3 linked regions of the Oreochromis niloticus genome follow. The protein of the gene in region 1 purifies or fractionates together with the protein of each later gene. This does not show direct contact. Links are inferred from orthologs where the notes say so. Each region holds a gene or a part of one and is shown on either strand. Other genes may lie near its edges.

Region 1 (7,457 bases):
GGTATATGAAGGCATCAGCGCATCTATGGATTTTAATGTTGCCACCAGTCAGCTTGTCTGACGTTTTAGCCAGGGTCTGTTTTAAGACTTGGGACATCAGCACCAGTTTACTACCAGGTGGTGCCATGTGGGTGTTCCTGGCTATCTTGGCTCTCTTCATGGCCCCTTCCACTAGAACACACAAACACACATGGGTGGTCAAAGAAAGGCACACAGTGAAGACCGTGAGGAAGGACTAATGCTAGATGATTTTACTAAACCTTGCTGAGCCCAAGCGAGCTTCTTGCCCGAATGGAGACAGGCCGTTATTCCAAAAGGATTCAGAGTGAGGCTGCGCTGGAGGCAGGAGAGGAGATTGTGCAGGGGGAAGGAGTGGGTGAGCGAGGAGTAGCCAGCTTGTGTTTGGAGTGGACCTTTGGTCAGCAGCCGGTGAATGGGCTGAACAGCCTTTCCTTGGCAAACTGAGCCCTCCAGAAGCAGACCTAAGCTCCGCACAGCGTCCAGGGATATCTGATAAAACATAACTGAGAGATCAGTTACAGTACAGACTTGTTTTTATATTTCAAATAGTATAAATGAATACAAGAGAAATTCTCTAATCAAAACTTTTAACATAATGAGTTTACTTTAACAGCTACAATTTGCTGTTAATGTTTTATTTACACTAGTAAAAGAAAAAATGTACAGCCATAAATCTAATTCATCTATCAGTTAAGACGGAAAGTACCTGCCAGGTGTGACGAATCAAATGCCAGACTGACCATCTCTATAAATGCAGAGGTTCTGACAGTTTTCTGCTAAGGAGCATTCAGCTGTGTGTTATTACAATGTCAAGGAGGAACAACACCAGCACTGATCTTAGAGAAGCACTTGTTGCTGTCTAAGTCGGGAAGGGCTAGGCTATTTATTATCATGCTGCAGTAAGAACAATTATTGACAAGTGAAAAACATTCAAGAAGAAGAATTTCACCCCAGTGTCAGACTGTGCAGTGCCCTAAGAAAAAGCAAAAAACCCAAGAGCTACATCTCAGAGTCCAGAGGCCTGACTTAGCATGTTAAACGTTAAAGTTGATAACAGTACAGTTAGAAAAAGAATGGAAGGACTGCTAGGAAAAAGCCTCATCTCTGCAAAAAACAAACAAAAAAACCCCATCAGAACAGCTTATGCACAGCACCATAACCAAATACAGCATATCAGCACATACATCTCATACCAGCTGTCAAGCAAAGCGGAGGAGGAGTGAAGATTTGGCCTTGTTTAACAGCAACAGGACATGGGCACTTTACAGTCACTGAGTCAACATCAACTCCTCTGTATACCAAAGTATTCTAGAGTCAAACAGCAGCAAACAGCAGGATGGCTGAAAAGGAAAAGAATCAAACTGGGTTTTTTTAAGTCCAGACCTTAACCTGACTGAAATGCTACTAGAGGACCTTAAGAGAACTTTTGTGAATTAATGTAAACCTCAATAACCTGAAGCAACGTTGTACAGCTCCACAGTTTATCATCTACCTGAAACAAACTATTTTAAGTCTTCTCTCTTCCAGCCAACTTTCTTCTAATTGGGTGCCCTTCATGCACAGTGGGTTTGAACTGAAGGTGAGTAGCGCTCGATGCTCAGAGTGAGTGATGCATGCCTGTTGCAGAATTTTTTCTTTTGCATTAACTGAACTGTTCTGAAATCCTATGCTGTAAAGCATGCAGTAACCTGATGTGAAACTACACAGACATGTAACTATTAAAGTTCACATCACATTGACGCCCAGCATTGACTATCACTGAGGAGTTAGACACTGACATTTCTTTTTACACATTTATGGCTACCTCTTCTTCTGATAACAGTTTTCAAATTGGCTGGAAAAGAACAGATCAACTCAAAGACGAACTCCATCGCCAACTGGTGTTTTGGCAAAGAGATGCAGAGCAACACGGGCTAACCCGCACAAGCAGAAATGCTGGCAACAACATTTGACACTCATGTAGGCTCTGCACAGATTCAGTGCAGAAGTAGAAATCAAGCTTCAGATTACAATATTAGAGATATGTACTCTTAGAGACAAGATAATGATGCAAGAGAAGCAACAACTACCTGAAAGAGACTGATTAGCTCACAGGGATTGCTTCTACATATATATCTATAAGAATATATTTAAGAAAATACATTAAATATAATGGTATTTTAAATATTCTGGCTAGCACCAATTATTGTTAAAAATATCTAGATTGTGTCTGTGACCTAAAGCAGGATGTGTGCTTGCTGTTCCCAGACCTGGCAGTCTCTTAGGGCCTGTCCAGATTGCGACAGTTGACCAGGCTCCACTAGCAGCTCCAAAATCTCTGCCAGATGGCTTTGCACGAAGGACAGGTGAGCCTGATCATCCCAGTTCTGCAGAACAAAAACAGGAACAAAACTGGACTATAAGTGGTTAACTTCATATACACCACCATACAATAATTTGCACTAGATCTAATTAGAACTACACAATACTACAAATCCTGCTGCGTCATTGGTCATTCTGTTTTATCTTTCATGGCAAAGAGAACCTTGTTCTGATAGCTAGTCTTGGACTCTCTGTCTGATGGAGACGGGGAGCGAGTGCGATGGCTGGGCCACTCTTCACCAATCAGAGAGGTGCGCAGAGACACACGGTTCAGCTGCTGAATGTAGAGGAAAAGGAGGAACTGCAGAGTGTCCACAGACAACTGGTACACAAAGGAGAGGGAAAACACAGGTTATCTATCAATATGCAGCCGCTGTTCAAATCTGAGGGCAAGGTTACAATGGTATCAGTCCTTGGATTAAATATTTAAACGTTATTTAACCTTGTTCCTCTGCTGGTCCAGCTCACTTTTAGTAGAACACTGGGAAAGACACTCAGCCCACTCCAGCCTCTCCTCTGGTGTATGACCTATCAGCAGGTCAAAGGTCTCAAAGTAGAGCCACGCAAGGTCTTCTAGAAGCTGCAACTTTCCACAGGCAATATGCCTCCACATGGGCCAGCTCAGGATGGGGAAGCAGCCATCCCTTGTTCGCACGTAGATCGCCATCTTTCGAAGATAGTGTAGGCTTAGTTTGGAGGATGGTGCCACCTACAATGATAGTAGTTCATGTTATTTACAAGATTTACAGCTCTTGGCTGATATCATGGTGGGAGTATATTTACCTGTAGGGCACCAAGTAGGAAGGGTTCCATGCGTGGCCATATGCTCACGCCGTTTGCCTCCATGTCTGAAGAGTCAGAGTACAAAACCATGTGACATACACCGATAATTAATTACTTGAGTATTTGACACTGTAAGTACAATGCACTTTTCCAAACCTTTTAAATCACAATGACAGTGCAATTACTGGATTAAGATTATTAGCCACGAACCAGGGAAAGAGCTGGGGAGCATTAGCAGTTAAACTGGTCAAACTGGACAGTTACAATAACATTATGCTTTGTTATTTTGCACAGACTCAACCTCTGTCCACACTGTTGAGTTCACCATGTCACTCATACTCCGGCCACTTTAACTCTGTACACACACAACTGTGTATCAATTCAGATACAGCGCAGAATGTTCTGCCTTTACTCACTTTCTTTTAAAACTCATCGCATTTCATGAACCTTTTCATTGCTGTTTTTTTTTTAGTACAGCGACAACAGACCTAATCTTCAAAAATGACCGTTTAATTACAGGGTGAAAAATATCTTCCTGGCAACCAGGCTGCTTGTGCATCAACACTAGGCATCTAATTTCAAGTTTGACAAGCCAATCAAAACTAAGCTAACACAAATCCAGTAACACAGTAAATATATGCACAAAACTCACTTGTTTTTGCTGTGGCGCAACAAGAAAGGAAGCCAAATACCAGTAATACCAGGCGCACTGCTATTTGCTCATAAAGTTAACTCCAATATAAAAAAGTAGGGCTGGCCAGCTAGCTTAGCTCCAGTTAGCTAGCTGAGCTAGCACGCCTCTGGTGTCAGACTTTGTGTCCTCGTCCTGTTACTGGGATCTTCGGCCTGAATGAGAAAAGGACCGACAGGTCAAGGACTCATAGGTGAGTATACAGAGGAGGACGAGTGCAGTGGTTCCTGGTTAGCTGTCAGACGCACATCTGCCGTCCTTCCTATTTGGCGCCCTCCTCTCCACTCAGACTTCAGCAGACATCTGTTGCGCGCAGCTCGCGGGGGCGCGCTGCATCCTGCACTATGAGCATGGTGTCCGGGTTTTTTTATTCACCAAAATGTTCAGTTTTTTATTAGTTGTACTTATACATGTAACAAAAAACAAAAACAAAAAAACAAAACAAAACGTCGGTGCAAACAGTTATAACTGACAAGAAGGAGTTGAGAAGAACGACGTGAGCTGTCTCTTTAACGCTGGGCAGAGTTTTTCGGGAGAGGAGGATTTGCCGACATCCAGTGGGCGGGCTTTCTCTGACAGGAGGAAGAAGGCTTGTGGCTGACTGACTGGCAGCTGGGATCCGAGCTTTAAAAAGCCGGTTGTTCTTTGCTACCTCCGTGAGAAATCCTGAGATCTATGGCTGCTAAAGGGATGAACCTGTGTAACGTGTGCTGCCTGCTTCTTTATGCTACCACAGCGGTGCTTGCCGGGTAAGTGGTGTTCGCTCGGACAGCGGCGAAACAGCATCGCCAGCTGGTACACATGTTTCACTGTGATTGGTCTAGACCTGCTCTCCATGCGTGGAACAGTCTGACACAGGGCTAACTTGCTAATAAGTGCTTTTGTTCTCTTTTGCGCTTCACTGATTAAAAAGTGTATCCACCACTTGTAAGGGACGTGTTTTAAGTGACTACCTAGCCTAGTTAGCTTGGAGCTAGCCATTACGGTAGCTGAAGCTGCTGCATACTGTCTATGGAAGCCACACTGGCTTACCCCCCGGAGATTGTAGCTAACTCGGTGTTTTACAATCTAAAAGTAGCATCATTGCCATTTGATAACGGTTTCTCGTTTTTCTTCTACCTCTGTGCCTCATGTGTCTGCCTCATTTGTGTTATCTTCCTCTCTCCTGTAGGCGAGATTTCTATAAAATCTTGGGGGTGAGCAAGAGTGCATCAATCAGGGACATCAAGAAGGCCTACAGAAAGCTGGCTTTGCAGTTACACCCCGACAGAAACCAAGACGACCCGCAAGCCCAGGACAAGTTCGCAGACTTGGGGGCAGCCTATGAGGTAGATGTGTAGCCATTGTTGTGTACATGATGCTAGTGATATCCGCGATGAGCAACAATGAAATTGTTTTTGAGTTAAAAGACTGTTATATTTCCCCAGTATCAGCTGTGTTCGGTTACAGTAGTGTAGATTTAATCATATGTGAGTATAAAAGCGCCCAAGACGCCGATACAACTGTTTTATAAGGCTGAAATTTGGTTGTTGTTGGTAAGATCTCTGCGATTGGACGATTAGACCGTGTGGCTGAATCTGATTGGCTGTCAGGCAGCACAGCTGGTGTATTGAAAATTCAGACGTGGAAGAGTGGGAGTGGATTCAGATAAGCGCTGCAGGTGTTTCCGTGTCAAACGTTCACGTTTCTTTTAAAAACGGAAGGATGCCGCAGCGAGTTCACTGATTTGTAACACAAAACAGAAATTTGTTATTAATCGGGTTTTATTAGTCGAGGCGTGTCAATGGACATTTAAATGAATGACAATATAATAAAACGCAAGTATCGGTTTTGAAAATAATTGACAAGAGCTAGATAAATTCTTTTTAAGTTGTGTGTTTTTTGTTTTGTTTTGTTTTTTGTTTTGTTTTGTTTTGTTTTTTTAATTGTTATTATTGAGGTACCTCAGGCACAAAAAAGATACCTACTGAACTTTATGGTTCATTTTGTTATTTGTTTAAAGAAATCTAAAGTAGTGGTACAATATATAACAAATAAAAATATTTCAAAGCCAGAATTTAAAATGGGTTACTGATTGTAGAAACAGCAACATATCCAACATTCTTTGGTAGTCTCTTCAGATGTTCACCTTGAAGCTGAAAAGTTTAACTGGGACGTCCCCACTTGGATTTTTGCCTGTTGTTGCTGAATGAGGGAAAACAGCCCTTCTTCATTGGTTGAGGGTCTCACTTACTAGTTTCAAGTCCTGTTACAGCATAATCTTCATGTTGTAAATTATGCTCACTGTTAGAGTCAAGAAGATTATTTCTCGGTACAGTCTGATCTGCCTCTCACATATATCTAGTTTCAAAAAGGTTGACAAAAGAAATGAGGTTCAACTTGATGCTTAATGATGGGAGAGCATCTTTTATCTATAGTCTGTGATTGAAACAATGGGAGACAATGACGAGCTGATTAGCAGTAGCAACAGCCATTAGTGCTACTCCATGCAGATGAGAGCAGATTTTTTTTTCTTTTCTTTTGAAACGTTTGCTGTGAATTTCTAAAATCTAATCATTTTCTAAGAATGGAGCCATTGCTGCTTTTCTCAGGTGAAAGCACTTCTACAGCCTCAATGTAATTGCTGGCTGTTCCTTCTAATGGGTCACCTGTTTGTATTCTCATATTTGTATTTGAAAATCAAGAAAAAGTGTATATTTTATACGTAAGCGTTAAGATTGTTTTAGTAGTAACAGCTGACTGACTTTTCATTTCATTGTTTAATGAATCAAAATCAATTTCAAAAACTAACACAGCTTTGAAGAGCCCATCGATGTTTTTTTTTTTTTGTTTAATTTTTACATTGAATGATGACACTCCACACGTTGTATCAGCGGAGAGAACAAAGACTGCGGCTTGTGGCTGTTGGTGATTGACAGGTTGTTTGTTTGTAGGTCCTCTCAGATGAGGAGAAAAGGAAACAGTATGACATGTATGGAGAAGACGGGCTCAAAGAGGGTCACCACAGCTCTCACAGCGATATCTTCTCCAGGTTGGTTTCATGAGCTCAGCTGGATTTTATACCAAGTTCAGTTAAATGTATGTATAATGTCCACTCATGCTACTGTTCCTCCCTCTGTAGCTTCTTTGGTGACTTTGGGTTCATGTTTGGTGGCAACCGACAGCAACAGGACAGGAATATTCCCAGAGGAAATGACATAATACTGGACCTGGAGGTTACACTGGAAGAAGTGTACTCTGGGAACTTTGTGGAGGTGTGGAGAAACTCCTGGTTTCCAAACGAACAATCTTTAGCATCCTTTATTCACATTTTCAAGTTTGTTCCACAAAGAGGAGCTAGCTATAGTGTCACTTCGTTCAGTCATCAAAATGCAAGGCTTACCAATGAATCGTCTAATTTACTACCTGTAGATTTTCATGTTATCAACACGTATTTCCCCGCTGTATGCAGGTTGTACGTAACAAGCCTGTAGCTAAAGAAGCTCCTGGTAAAAGGAAGTGTAACTGCAGACAGGAAATGAGGACGACCCAGCTGGGACCTGGACGTTTCCAGATGACTCAGGAAATGGTGTGTGACGAGTGTCCCAATGTGAAGTAAGTC
Region 2 (7,521 bases), on another chromosome or scaffold:
CTCGGTCAGCAGGTGGCGGTATCCTCGTACACTGGGGAGTAAACTGCCATTAAACGAACAGAAGAAGAAGAAAACATCTGCACATGCGCGGTACGGATCGGGTAGACCCGATTTGTACGGTCGGACTGTGCACATGCGCAGTAAGGATCGGGGAGTCCTGATCCGTAACTATCTTTTTATTTTTCGTTTTTGTCTACATTGTACTGAAATGCTTCATCATTGGAAACATTTTAAGAGATACTTATTATTCTTAACATCTTAACAGATACTCTGACCCGTAACTATCGTAAAACGCTACGACCGGAAGTAGACACTTTTCCCGCATGCGGGGTACCGATCGGGTTTCCGGTACGGATTGGGTAGTGACAGTGGCTGCAGCCAGACCCTTCTCAAATATCCCGCTTGTGGAGGCTGCCATCTTGCAAATTTGGAGCCAGAGTCTGCGCAGTAGTGACTTGAGGTGGAGCGACTGTGTAACGCTCCCGCCCACACACCCGCTGGACATGACCGCAAACACGCCCCTCTACACTTTTTACGTATCCCGGCTGCTCGAGTTTTTTTGCTGGTTTACCGCGACTGACGACTCCTTTAATTAAGGTAAATACAACCATATCACTGTTATAAAAAAAGACGCACAGCTTATCATCTTATAGTTCTAAAATCACTCTGTTGTTAATTCGTTTGCTAGATTAGCCGCTAGCATACGCGCTGTGTTGGAGGCTTGTTGCTAGCTAGTTAGCAATGCTACACACCTGCTACTCTAATAGTCTGTGTTATTGAAGGATTCAGCACTTCTTATGTTTGTTTTTATCCATTTTTAGACAGCGATGAGATCATCTGCACACTCTATAGAAGCCCAGAGTTACTGTTAATATCCAAAATATAATGCTGTCCTTTGAGATTTTAACATAAGACTGAGTGTAATGGATCTAAAACTGTTTAAATCTTCAGAGCCCTCTACAGCCTGGTAACATGGAGACTTTAAAAACATCAGCAGAAGGTTTCAGTATTGTAGTCTAATTTGTCCTTTTCATTTAATAATAGAGTCCATATTATATCAACAGCTACATTCACCCTGGAGAGAAACTAGTGAGGGAGACCACCAGGACCAAGCTGGGTTTCCTGGGTCCAGAGGTTTGGAGAAACTTCTTCCTTTTCTTTCATCGCAGCTGTCCTGTGCCAGAAGTTCTGTTGACCCACTGAAAGAGGCGTCATTTAAGAAACACCAGGAAGACTGAAGCTCATCGCATAGATCAAGCAGGACTCATGATCTTCACCAGCAGCTCCCTCACAGGGAAATCTTCAGCACTCCTCCGTAGGCCCGATCCAGGAGATGGATAAACCCAGCATTTCATGAACACTGTGATGGAGATCTTTGGTTTGTGTAATGTTATAAATACTCGGATACTCCCCAGAGGCTCCAGACTTTTACATAAAGATATTATATTCAGTCCTGTAGAAAGTTATATATTTAAAAATATATGATCCTCTGTGGTTACTCTGGTATGAATAACTCTGAATCACTTATAGTAAATAACACACTATCTGCAAAAAACTGTGAAAGAATTCCAGATGACAAGTTTGTAGTTCAACATACAAGTGATGACCTATGACCTTCATCAGGTTTTATTTAATTGTGCCAGAGAAAATCTCATATGCTCTTCATGCAGCTGAGTACATCAAGTGTTTAAAACGGAAGCTGTGCAGGTCTGAGATCAGCAGCTTTGTGAAACACCAAACTGAGGTCCTGTTAATGCTGATATATAGTGACACTGTTACATGAGTGATTAATCCTTTTGTTTTTTTTGTCTTTAACTTTATCAATAAAGCTGCAGCTTTCACTACAGCACGTGTGGTACTTTAACCTTTGTACTGTTTTCATCAGTTCATTTTGCAGTTAACATGTTGGATGATCTGTCTGCTGTCACTGGGTGGTGCTGAGGTCTGAATCTGAGGGCAGCCCCTGTAATCACAAAGAGAACAGAACCATCAAACTCAGATATAAATTTTATCCCTCAAAATTGAAATGAAGCTGATTCTTCTGTCCTCACACACTCAGGATCTGAAGTTCTTCTCTTACATTTTTTTCAGTATTACAGTACACTACAGTACTTTAATCCATAGTTCCTGATTAATGAGGAGTTACTGAAGTACAAGCTTTTAAAAAAAATGTTACTGTCTTTACAGATGTGGCAAGAGACTGAAAACATGCTGCTGTTTGCATATATTTAATATTCAGTTCTGCACAGGAGCTGCAGCAGGGTGCAGCCTGTTGCTTTTACAGTATAATACTTGTAATAAAAGTACAGTAACAGTAATTAGTGACTGAGTAGCCCGGAACGTTTCTCTTGATTTCTTTAGTAAATTCATTCACCTGCACAGATTAGCTAAACGAACCCTGACAGCCGAGTGCTCATTTTAGCTAGCTAGGTCATAGCTAAGGACAGTAGTTACGGATTAGCTTACAAACACGATTAACTTACCGAAAAAGTGCCCTCCTCTCAGAGCCTACGCTCTATCTGCTATTCCCGAACAGAGATACGCAAGTTTCTCCGTGACTGCAGCTGCCAGTCAAAGCTGTTATGATGACGTTTCACCCCAATTTAACATCACCGCGGTAGGAATTAGAATCAAACTTATGGGAAAGGAGACCCCTTGGACATCAATCAGCATGATGAGAACTATTGATAACAAAAGAAAGAATCTTTGGAAAAAAAATATCTAAGGAGAATAAATTTATTTTAGTCTGATCCCAGTCCCATCCGCTAACATGGAGGAGGCGGGGTTTATGACCTATACTGCAGCCAGACACCAGGGGGCGATAGAGACGTTTTGGCTTCATTTTTGGGGAGCTGTGGCGTCGTCCATGTTTTCTACAGTCAATGAACTGGAGCCTCATCGTCTCGTCTCTCTATATACTGGACTGTATGTAGCGGAGATGACAATAAAGTTTACTTTGATTTCAGCAGCGAGCAGGCGCACCGAGGGCTCTCGCGCTCACTTTTCGTGTATGGAATTTCGAAAAAACATGGGTGCAAATTATAAGTCTGCATCATGATGTCTGGTGTTTTCGTGTTTGTTGGTTTGTTTTTATTTTATTTTATTTTGCGAGTTGGTTATTAGATGCTGCTCCAGCCAGCCAGAGAATCCCCCGCCGCCCCGCCCTCTCCTCCCTGTGCCGCAAGCAGCAGGTTCACCTCGCAAACGGAGGGCGCCCTTACTCCCAGCAAATGGGCGATAGAAAACTGATCGGTGCCTATGCCATTCCCAATATGCGCTGGCTGCCGTCGGGGCAGCATGAGTACGAGCATTTTTTTTTTTTTTTTTGCCGATGCCCGTGATGCCGCCCCCCATCACGATGCCGCCCCGGGCAACCGCCCGTATCTAAAACCGCTACTGAGTGAAGTAGCTGTCAAAGTTCCTACAAACCATTCTTTTTTAGCATAAGATAGACAAAATAGCGGCTTGCTTCGGGCTCTGAGCATCGTCACATAACAAAGAGCGTTTCACGCATCATGTGACTTTTCCTCAGCACATGGTGATCCTTATGAGTCCTAATATCTGATCCTACTAATGAGTCAGCGACATTATGAGATGGTGATTAAAAATCTATAAAAACAAAACGCAAACAAAATACCGCACTGTTGCAGAACGTAATTAATGCTGCAGAAAATCATCAGTCTGATAGTTTAATGCACAGAACAGTAAAATAAACATTTTAATTCCAGTGACTCATTTTTAATGGGATGTTTTTATGCTTGCCTTGTGTAAAAGTCACCGCACACCACTCATGTAACGTATAATTCTGTTTAAAAAACAAAGATGGCCTGTGTGATGATTAACAGGCAGAGTCAATCAATCTGCAGGAAAAACATTTATTTGAGTCAAATACTAAAATACAGTAAATCCATATAGGTATGTTTTAGGGATTTTGGGGATTTTAGGGATTTTAGGATTTAGGATTTTAGGATAGTTTAAATTTCACTATTGGCAGTTTATGAGATTACATTTGATGGTTTTATACGTCTTTTACTTTGCACGTCTTCTCCCAGACACTTTGTGAGTCGATCTTATGTAAAAATAAACCCAAAGGAGACAGAACCTCTGTTCTGATTCTATCTATTCTTTTCTCCTACATTTAATTATATTCTTTTCTTTGCTATTTTGTTTATCCTTCTGTCCCACTCTCACCTTTTCCTCTCTCACTCTTTGTGTGTGCATGTGTTAGAATCGAAGAATATTCCACCAGTGACCATTGCCAAGATCTTCATAATGATCGGGTATATTACATTCAGTGTGTTTTTGGATCAAATTAAGTATTGCCCAGTTCTCAGAGGGCAACTGGATTCTATCAATACAAAGTGACAATAACTATGTTATTTAAAAGTTTCAGAAAGGCCAGAAGAGAGATCAGAGACTGACAGCTGACTATCAATGATGGCAGCATAATGATTCAGTGCACTGGCATGAACATAAGTGCCCTTTCTTGGTAAAGACAATATATAATTAAAACATATTTTTTCTCTGTCTATATGTATAGAAATTTGCTTCTAAATTACATCACATAAACACATCTATACTAGACAGGTTACTGTGTATGTTAAATTGTACATGTGGTGGGTGCCATGTGTGTCCTTTGTCCCATCTTCCTCCGCTCTCTTCTCCCTTCCCCTCACTCCCAACTGGTAACAGGTGATAGCTATCTGGAGGAACAGCCTTTGCGGTCAGTGACGGCCTGAAACATCACCAAATGCTATTTCATCTTTTGAGAAGATTTTTTCTATTTTACTGTTCACAGTATTCGTTAAGTAGATTTGATCTGAATCCATCTGCGTGGCAAAACCACATCTTATCTTGTCTGTTTCGGCTCATCTGAGTTCCCAGGACAGATGAGCCGAATGTACCAGGGTCCTCTACTCATCATCATCAGCATCATCAGAGGCACAGGCAGTTTAAACCGGGAATAACGTTGGAGGGGTGGAGCTGCTTCTGCATGACTCCTACTACTGTTTGGCGTTAACTGTTGTGACGACGCATATGCCTATTCTGACCAATCACGCGTTGACATTGTCTTCCGTATTTTAGGACTTGTCAAGTGGTGATTGGTGGAAAGCAGCACTACGGTTCGGAAGTGAGTGCCGGTCATGACAGCAGAGACACAAAGATGGAGGTGGTCGGTACAATCCGCGGGCTTATCAGGTCGCTGCTCTTCCTGCTGCTGTGGTCCAGCTGTGAAGGACGAGACTCGGAGCTCAGCTATGTGACCTGCGGCTCTCTAGTCAAACTGTTCAACACCAGACACAACGTCCGACTGCACTCCCACGACGTTAAGTACGGCTCAGGTAAGTGTTCAGAGAGCTGCCGGTGTACGGCCACAGCAGCTCTGAGGCGTCAGTATTGCGCTTACTCTGCTAGAAGAGCTCTGTAGAAGCCAACAAATAGCCGAAAATTCAACCCAGCACAACTTCCGACCACCTTTTTCTACGCTGTAGTTAAGAAGAGGTTCGCTCCATCGGTGCGTGTCTTCTCTGGGGGCGTGCTGCTTTTGTGCTATAAGCACAAAAATGAGAAATTGATATTCCCATCAGTGCAGTTTGGCATTATAGAGTCACCTGCTTTATAAGAGCATCCATTAAGTTAGTGAGTTTGGAGTCGTCCTCATCAAGCACCAGGGTTAGGCTGACTTTCACATTTGGTGGAGAGGCTATAAGGTTTGCATACTGTAACAGTCACTCACCGAAACTATGAAACTCACTTATGTTTCATATCGTCTGATCCTAGCAGATGTCCTTCCACGCTCTATGTGCGCACTCTGTTTCGGCCTCGTCCCTGAAAGTTGCTGGTTTGAAGGCGAGGTAATATTTGTTACATGTGTAGCCAGCCTGGGACAAGTGCACATCGTCAGCACATCCACTTTAGGCTCATGTGACGTCAAACTTTCTCACATAAGTCATTTTACAAGTGAATATAGCTGAAATCATAGAACAGCCTAGACTTTAACTGATGTCAAGGCAGCTTTTATGAGACTACTTGTTAGCTATAAAATTGGGACTTTGCTGTGGAGAGAAGCAGACTGGAAAATAGTTTAATAGTACAGGGTTGAATACATTATTGCTAATGTTCTGTCATTGTTGCTGTACTGCTGGCTGACAACAGAAACAAGAACAGCTTATAATAACAGATTGTTGTGATGAGTGCATACTGGACCGCAGGCATTGTCAGAACTGAATCAGAACCGAAACACTGCAGCTAAGCTGGTGGATGCAGTGCCTGTGTAAAATCTAGTGGCTCTGGATGAGAGGAGAGCTGACTGCTTGAAGCATAGACAGATTATCAGTGCTACCGGGAAATCGCCTGAGGTCTTGTTTTGAAGCCTTAGGGTGAGCATTCTAACTGACCTGCAACACCCACATAATCTTCATAGGCATGTTGATGTTCTGTCACAGTTGTTGCAAATGTGAACTGGCATTCTTCTTCTTTTGCCACTCTTCAGTTGGAGACATGATAAATATACCTGTATACCAAAGTGCAACAGGGTGCAGGGTGGGCAACAAATTTTCCCATGGGGCCACATGAAGAAGCCGTGGTGCACCATTAAGCTTATAAAGAGAATAAATGAATATTATGCAAAACTGAGCTAGGTTTATCCTTTTAAATTGGTTCATGGACAGCTGTGAGAGCCTCCTCTAGTTCCCCTGTGACATTTTGCATAGAGCACAGATTTTGACAGTCTGGAAAAATAACTACATGAGGGAACAACATACCTGTCTATTGGTGGAACATGCATTTTTAAGATTACAATTCAGTTTCAGATGCACATGCAGCTCTGCTTGCACTGACATCTCTTTTGGGTCTCACATTTAAATGACAAAATCAACACTCTGAATTCAGATTTCGATATTATGTCTGCTTTATTTGTTATGGAATGACAGTTGAACAGGCCTCACCCAGCTATCAGACTACTTGTCAGTCAATTGTCTGTTAATTTTTTGAACCTCTGAAATGGGACATGTGTATAAAGATGACTGTGGTTTTTGTAAAGCTGCTTAAATTAAATGCAGTGTTCTACCGGTATATTTGTCCCACAAAATATGGACCAAACTGTCCCACCTGTAATAGTGGGAAAGGCAGGGCACACCCGGACAGGTCACTAGTCTGTACACAGAGCAGTGGAGAACATTCAGACTCCACACTGAATCTAACTGTAGTCAGAACATTATAAGTTTGACAGGCTGCATCACAGAATAGAATATTTATTGAGCTTAACATAAAGGCCAATTGGCTCCAGATATTAAGCCCACAGTTACAAATCTGGGCTTTATATTGGACGGTGATTGTAAACTGGACAGACAAATTGGTGTAGCATCTTTCATTTAAGAAAAACAGGTAAAGGTAAAACCTATTCTCTGCAGGCAGCATTTGGAGACGGTAAAACATGCCCACCCCTTCTTTATTGTGACTTTTAGTTTGAAGAAGCTGGAGAAAATGCAGCATCATACACAAAGTTTACATCCTGTCCAC
Region 3 (7,882 bases), on another chromosome or scaffold:
TCTACCAGTGCTCTCTGCTCAACCACCTAAGCAAAAGGTACCACTTTTCCAAAATTACAAACCTCATTTAACATTTTTGTACTACTTAATTTTTGCAGTAACCTTTAATATATTGGCATATTTGATGTGTACTTCTCAAGCAACTGAGCAAAAAGAAAGAAAGAAAGAAAGAAAGAAAGAAAGAAAGAAAGAAAGAAAGAAAGAAAGAAAGAAAGAAAGAAAGAAAGAAAGAAAGAAAGAAAGAAAGAAAGAAATTATAATAGGGCAGGAGTCTCAACTTATTACTGTAGAAAAGATATAGTCAAATGTTTTCACTTTTGAGGCCTTACTGCACCTATAACTCGAATCAGCATATCATTTGTTCTGATGTTAGTACTCTAGATTAACCTGTTAATGAAGCCGTAATATTGGGTAAATTTGTGTATTCGTGGTAAGAAAAAAAAAACTTTCAAACTCTGTTGTGGGCAAAGTCACTAAACCTTTGACAGCACTTTTGAACAGACTTGATTAGTGATTTAATGCATACAGTTTTTCTGTCCTGGAAACCACTGGCATGAACGTTAAGACTCCACTAAACATACCATGTGGTGGCTGGCAAACAGCACCATATGATAAAACCAACATCACACCTGCTGTTGCAAGTCACCATTTCTAATGGTCATGCACCCCTCGATTTTTGTAACCTGATGCATAGTGCCACCACTGCTGGGTTGAGGACACATTGTCACAGTTTTGCAATTTTTTAATGATGTATCAGTACAGAAGCTGAGAGTTGTTGCAACTGCTTAAAAAGATAGATTTTCTGGAAAAACAGGCACTGCCTTTAATTCTCCTTTACATGGTAGAAGTACTGCCTGAGCGGCAACACCTATTATTCAGGAGAATACTGCAGCTGCTACCTGCGCTATAATGGCGAACATAGATGGCTAAATGGATGCGATTGTGTCATGACCTTCTCAGCAGAGTGCAGAGTGACCAAAGCGGTGGGTATACTGTGGCCTTATGGTTCTCCTTCAATGCATTACTTATAGGATTCAAAATTACTGCTTAGTAGGGTACCAACATGGCTGCAAGACTGAAGTAACCACGATCATCTTCCACTCACTAATATTGTGTGATATGGCATAATAATGGGGCATGAGTGTTTTCACTCTATTGACTGGACAGGTTAAATAGATATATGTAATTAATCACACAGGTTTAACATTCCTTTAAAAACACCAGGTGAACTTACTGCGCTTTTTTTTATGTCGGCGCCTCACTTCCTCCTCTGAATCACTCCCCCCTCCACTTCCACTTTTTTCTGCTTCTTCCTCCTCTTCTACCTCTTCTCCATCGTCAATGAAGCCACGTAAATTCCCTTTCTCATCCTGGTCTTCTAGGTTATCCTCTTCTTCCTCTTCATCTGCTGAGAAATGACAGATGAGGGGTCCACATGCCATACAACTTCAACACACATTCCCAAAGTTAAAGAAATCAGATCTTACCATCTTCTTCCATAAATCTCTGGTTCTTCTTAGGTTTTAAGTCCTTCTCCTCAAACTCCTCCTCCGACTCTTCTGCCTCACTTTCAATAAAGTCCGACATGACTACTGTTCCTGAGAAAAAGTTTAAAATGCTGTTAATAAAAATGTCATCAATCGGGCAATATTGGGTTCTCTCAAAATTCTCCTGACAAAAGCCAAATACACACAAATTTTACACTATACTGGATAACACTGTGCTAGAATAAGAACTTTAAAGGTTGCTTAACGTCCCTTTAAACTATTAAATAATAATTTACATATGTCAATGTATTACCAAAGATGTTATAGCATCTCCTGTATTACATATAGATTATTCATCAGGTTATTACTGATTATTAATGAGTTTGTGATTAATATAACAATTTGATAGTAATGTATAATAGTGCTGTGCAGAAATTTTGATTCTTTACTTTCTTTCTCATTTCTTCATATTCTGTTAAAAAATTGTTGCAGTGATTTATTGAGAGAAATGTAAACATACATGGAAATATTTGATATGACCACCTTTATTCTTCAACACAGCCTTGACTCTCTTACCCAAGCTTTCTTGAAATTTCTTTAAGGAATAGTTTTCCAGGCTTTCTGAAGGACATTCAAAGCTTTTATTTGCATATTGGCTTCCTTTTGTTCTGTTGTCTGTCACGATGCTCACACATTGCTTCAACAACGTTGAGGTCCAGGCTCTGGGGATGCCAATCTATGACTGTTACCTGAATGTTGCTTCAGTGGGGAATCTGCATTGTTACTTAAAACATAATTGGAAATGCCTTTTAACCCTATGCCATAACCTTCCACGTAACCTGACTTTCACCTTCCAAGAAATGTAGCTACATGTCAGCTTGATGCAGCCCGCAATTATCACGGGCACAGAAGGCTGCAATGCGGGTTAAGAGGGGTTTTTGACATAGTTATGACATAGATTTCCTGCAGAAATCTAAAGTTGATTTAGACTTCTCTGTGAAATCTACGGAAACCCCTTTTAACCCTATGCTATAATATTCCACATAATCTGACTTACACCCCCTGAGAAATGTTACTACACGTCGAGTTCGATGCAGCCAGCAGCTATTGTGATTGTCAGTTCGATTCCGGCTACTTTTTCGCCGCACTTTTAAAAAAGATTATCAGTGAAAGAAATAACAATAATTGCCACAGTATAAAGAATAAAAATCAGTATAAATATAAGGTCTCACAAATGTCAGCAGATTTCTGGAGGGAGATTGCTAAAACTACCTAAATGGACGTGATGGAATATACGAAGAAGTGGAAAAACCTGAGACACACATGTGTGCGTCTGAAGAAAAAAAATTAAAGAAAAAAAGACCACAACAAAGGGTGGGGACCCAGAAGGTAAAAAACAAGTCCCAGTATTTTATTTTATTTTTCTACAGGCCTGCACCACGCAAGAAACACTACACGTTAATTAACATGTAACTACAGACAAGCATAAATGTGGGCAACAACATCAGACGCTTATGTGGGTTATGTCGTAGGCTTCACAAAGGCCACCTCTCTAAACCTGGCATGACAGAGTTCCACTGTGTGTTTTTCTATCCAGGTATGTTTTTACTGAATTGGCCGTGTGTTTTGAAATCATTGTCATTCTGAAAAATTAAAAATCACATGCTTTTCTGATGATTTAGCTGATGTTTCAGCTAACCTGGCATTAATTTTCTGTAATCATAATTCGATCCATTTTGACAAGATCCCCAACAACACTGGCTGAAATGTAACCCCAAACCCTGACAGAGCTTCCACTGTGTTTTATAGATGGCTGTAGAGACGCACTGTTGTACCCCTCTCCTGACCTCCACCATTCATCTAGATATCTTTATATATATTTTAATTTGAACAAAAAAAAAATCTAATTTTGATTGATCACATCATAATCCCTACCGTCACTGATTTTTAGTCCAGTTTTATGTACTTCAGCATTCTACTGAGACAATTTCTGATGATGCTTTGGCATCATCTGAAGGTCCAGATGCATTTCTCATATCCTGTGTCAAGTGTTTGATGATTTTTCTTCTTACTTCTTGAAGACATGTCTTCCAGATATTGTTTATCTGTCCTCAACTATTTATGAATATACTACACACCATGCTGAGCTATGTGAAGTATAAAGAAATGAGGACTTAGCTGCAGACTTCCACACAAAAGCGAAAGATTACACCTGAAAACGATGCCTTTTGAGAGCTTCATAAAAAATATGTGTTATGTTGACAAACAACGCCTAACGTTAACAGAGACAAAGGGTATACTTTTAGTCAACCCTCTGAATGATTTTTTTCCTCTAGCACTGTGTTATAATGCCAGAAAGACTTAACAAGCGGGCTTTAACAATGACTTCACCTAGTCATGTCGCAATGCGTACACACACACACACACGCACACATACAAAACACTGGTCGTGATTACAGGACAAACAGCATACTTGCTTTAAATATAACGGTAGAGTAAGTAATCCGGGTGAAATCTTCAAGTTAAAGAAGTAAAAGGCTGTTGTATAAACACTTTTTGTTAATAACGGTAGCTAAAGCTAACGTCTTCGCTAGCAACGAACGAGGCTAAACGACTATTAGCAATGCTAATAAACTAGAAAGGAACATTGCAGCTAGTACAACGGTGGCACGTTGTTGCTTTGAAACGTGTTAGCAATAAAAGGCCGTTTTACCTAAAGTAAATTCACCATTGCATAAATTAACCAAGGCCTCCAAACCAACTTCGCAGTTTAACGCTGGCTAGTTAACGCTTTAGCATATCGATGTGTTAGCCTGGCATTAGCTGGGAAGACAACAACAGCCATCAGCATTGGTACTAACTACTTGAAAAAGAAGACATCGCAGTGAAGACATAGCAGATAATCATGCTAAAAGACACTGACTTACACGTCTCAGTGGGGTAGCGTACTCCGAAGATATTAACGGTAACAACTCAGTTGTATTGTATGTTATATTTCGGAGCTTGCACTTGTAAAAATGGCCGAGAACGAGCAGCGTGATGACAATTCCGGGATGCAGTAAGGGAACTTCCAACCTCTTCCGATGCAAGGTAACGCCCCCTGCGGTTTACCTCGATTCTATACAAGCATAAACAACTAAAATAACACAATAACACAATAGCACAATGACATCTTTTACTATCGTTAAGGTATTTTTCCTAGTATAAATATAATTTGAAATATAGCGCAGAGATGCCAAAAAATACGCTTAAATAACCCCAAAACCAAATAGGACCGTGCAGTTGCCGTTCCGAGCCGCTAGAGGCGCTGTCTCCTGAACTCAACACTGGCTTACTGTACGTTTTTAATGACGTAGCGAAAAATAATGAAAATCTCTGAGAAGGATCAGCGGCTGGATGTGCTTGGCTTTTTTACAAAGAAGGAATGGGTAAATTAAACTGTGATAGTATGCCACGCTTTCTACAGGCCATTTTGTTATTGCTTTCCTGTGTGTTTGGACTCTCCCTTGGCACGGAACTGAGCTTTGTGACCTGCGGATCAGTCATTAAACTGTTGAATTTAAAGCACAACGTGAGACTACACTCGCACGACGTACGCTACGGGTCCGGTAAGTTTGCTGTCAAAACTAATCTTTTCATTCATAAACACTCGTGTTTTTCAGTTAACAATAACTACAGTTATTTTCCTTCATGACTAAGTTTGCATTGGTGGATAAAAAATACAATTCTGACTTTTTAATGTTCAGCCATTAACTGTGTCAGTGTGAGTTTGTCATAATGTTCAACTTAACTCCATCATGTTTGCAGTTAAATGTGACACGTTTTAGGAGGTCAGCTCAATTTCTAAGGTTTGCTGGAGAGACAAATAAACACGTTCATGTGCACAACCACAGTTAGGACACAGTTAAGACTGTTTCTGTTTCTGTTGTGGTCTTTTATTGAAAGACAGAAGAAGCGAAGGTGAAATCACATCTCCAACACAACTCCCTCTAAGTCAGCTGCATAAACTGTGTTTACACTGATTCTTTCCATCTGTACTAGCTGTCAGAGCAAGAACCCAGGGTGGTGTTAAATATGTGCAAGTACTAGTCAGCGATAGAGGTTTTATAACAACTCCATAAACTCTGAGTATAGATGCAAATGACACCTGTACACAGTAAAATGGCCTTGCAATGAGAATCAGCGCCTCTGAGTCTGAGGCCTTGATCCTCAGCTGAAAAAGATTGGAAGGCACACTCCCGGCCAGGAAGTGGAGATGTTTAAGTATCTTGGGGTCTTGTTTACAAGTGAGGGGGGAGATTGCTGGAGATTGGCTCCCGTGGTACCAGTCCATTGTAATGAAGTGAGAGCTGAGTGTAAAAGCGAACCTGTCGATTTACCAGTGAATCTTCATCTCTACTCTCACCAGCAGTCATGAGCTCTGGGTAGGGGTCTTCACAGCAGATCATCTGCCACCCTGTCACTCTTTTTTCCTCTGTAAGAAACTCTCTGCATTCCTTTTGTCTCCATTGAATACCTCCACCTCTACTGTTTCCTATTAGAGTACCTGCATGTTTTAATCCTAATATCAGCATTTGGCACTGGTGTATGCAATAATGCGTCACAAAAGGAAATAACAAGATAAGAAAACAAGATCAGAAAACTCTAGTTATAACATTGTTTCCCCACACTGACTTGTAGTTGTACGCAAGCATATGGAATTGCTGTTTGCCAAAAACCGATCAATAAAGCAAACCTAACCTTCATCACATACACAAAGTTCATAAGTTACACAGAGGACTGGTTTTAAATCACAATCTTCTATACTAGATGAAATTTGATTTTTTTATTTTAACTGTCTCTCATATCTTTAACAATCCTCTGCTGACTGTGTCTCTGAGGCAGGTAGTGGACAGCAGTCTGTAACAGGGGTTTCTGCAGTAGAAGACAGCAACAGCTATTGGAGTGTTCGAGGGACCAGTGATGCCTTGTGCCATAGAGGTACCCCAGTTAAGTGTGGGCAGACGATTCGCCTCACTCATGTCAACACAGGACGTAACCTCCATAGCCACTACTTCGCCTCCCCGCTGTCATCTAACCAGGTGGGTGGTGCGAGAAGTACAAGGGAAAAGCTGAGAGCTTTGGGGCTTTGTGTGGGATTTACCAGGTTTCTCTTTGCAAAAATTGGGGAAGGATGTCAGTGTGTAGAAGATGGATTTTATTTTTTTTTCTTCTTAATCAAAAAAGCTGATTATAAGTTTAGGAATTAGGAAGATTAGGAAAAACACTGAAGCAATAAACAGCTGTAACATTTATTAATGTGCAGTCTTGTGTAAACACACACAGACACACAAAAACAGGGTGCCTTTCACTTTTATTCAAAACTAAACCAACATTTTTGCAGTGAACCTGAGTTGACAGCAGCTTTTATACTTAACAAACTCTCTGGGAAAACAGCCTCAGGTCAGCATAAAACTCTCAAATCCTGAGAAAGTGTGAGAACACTGTCTGACCAAAGTGTCAGAGGGTTGGAAGATGCGTACCTTAGGAAAACAGAAATTTTAGTTTATATTTCTGCTCAGGTAGCTGTTGCTCTACTGCAGACATGTGAAACCCATTTTATATTGTGGGCCACGTACAGCCCACTTTGATCTTAAGCGGGCTGGAGCAGTGAAACTCTCCTTTCTAAAAAACTAAACATTTAATATCTGAGATATTAAAATATAATAAAAGGAAGTGCAATTACAACTGTACATCCTATTTTTTCTACATGATAAAGAAATGCTGAAATTGTAAGAAATAATTGGGTGGAACAATATATAACCTCCACACACTGTCCAGCTCATCATAATTTTTTATTGACTTACAACATTTCAGTCTGTGTGACCTTCATCATGTACAAAAAAAAAAAAGTTTCCTGGCTAGACATCTCACACTGCGTACTATCAATCAGGTAATGAATGAGTCCACTCGAAACTTCAACACAATCTTCAAAAAGCCAAATAACATTTAACATCACCACCTGATTCGAAAACCGGACCGTCTGTGTCTCCTATTCTGAAATGATCACTTAAATTCATAAATTACCTCAATTATAAAACCAGTTTACAACAAATATTCATACTTTGGACAAATCAGTGATACCAACATCCCAATATTAACAAATCACATCTCAAAACAACTCTAATTAAAAAAAAATATGAAAAAACTACATTGAGTACAAGTTCTGCAAGTTCTTTTCTCTTCAGTAAGAAATCATGGTATCCCCAGGTGGTGCTGGCACATGCTCAATGCCACAAAATTGTAAAAAGATGCTATATCATGTTACATATTATTAAAATGGGCTGCTATCGAATAATATTTATGAAAGTGGCAAATCGCATTTGCCACTCATGTTTTCTTGGCCAATAAATATC

Evidence for each region. Proteins that work in one complex are often made in the same cells at the same time.
Region 2: the proteins of dnajb11 (region 1) and sdf2l1 purify together in Homo sapiens (affinity purification with mass spectrometry; 3 studies listed by BioGRID and IntAct, counting the BioPlex papers as one, with this or other methods). This does not show direct contact. The link is inferred for Oreochromis niloticus from reciprocal best matches to the Homo sapiens genes DNAJB11 and SDF2L1.
Region 3: the proteins of dnajb11 (region 1) and sdf2 purify together in Homo sapiens (affinity purification with mass spectrometry; 3 studies listed by BioGRID and IntAct, counting the BioPlex papers as one, with this or other methods). This does not show direct contact. The link is inferred for Oreochromis niloticus from reciprocal best matches to the Homo sapiens genes DNAJB11 and SDF2.

What each region holds. Positions count from the first base shown.
Region 1 is NC_031987.2:32,688,092-32,695,548, reverse strand, and holds the start of dnajb11 (dnaJ homolog subfamily B member 11), read left to right. Parts: upstream 1-4,387; 5' UTR 4,388-4,531; coding exon 4,532-4,605; intron 4,606-5,027; coding exon 5,028-5,184; intron 5,185-6,789; coding exon 6,790-6,887; intron 6,888-6,977; coding exon 6,978-7,110; intron 7,111-7,307; coding exon 7,308-7,450; intron 7,451-7,457. Other genes in the region: tbccd1 (TBCC domain-containing protein 1), read right to left, coding at 1-171, 261-510, 2,271-2,387, 2,546-2,704, 2,825-3,091, 3,166-3,228. UniProt on the Homo sapiens protein: As a co-chaperone for HSPA5 it is required for proper folding, trafficking or degradation of proteins.
Region 2 is NC_031977.2:3,585,267-3,592,787, forward strand, and holds the start of sdf2l1 (stromal cell-derived factor 2-like protein 1), read left to right. Parts: upstream 1-4,451; 5' UTR 4,452-4,466; coding exon 4,467-4,489; intron 4,490-5,085; coding exon 5,086-5,342; intron 5,343-7,521.
Region 3 is NC_031975.2:17,383,092-17,390,973, forward strand, and holds the start of sdf2 (stromal cell-derived factor 2), read left to right. Parts: upstream 1-4,812; 5' UTR 4,813-4,911; coding exon 4,912-5,095; intron 5,096-6,371; coding exon 6,372-6,568; intron 6,569-7,882. Other genes in the region: supt6h (transcription elongation factor SPT6), read right to left, coding at 1,235-1,408, 1,488-1,587.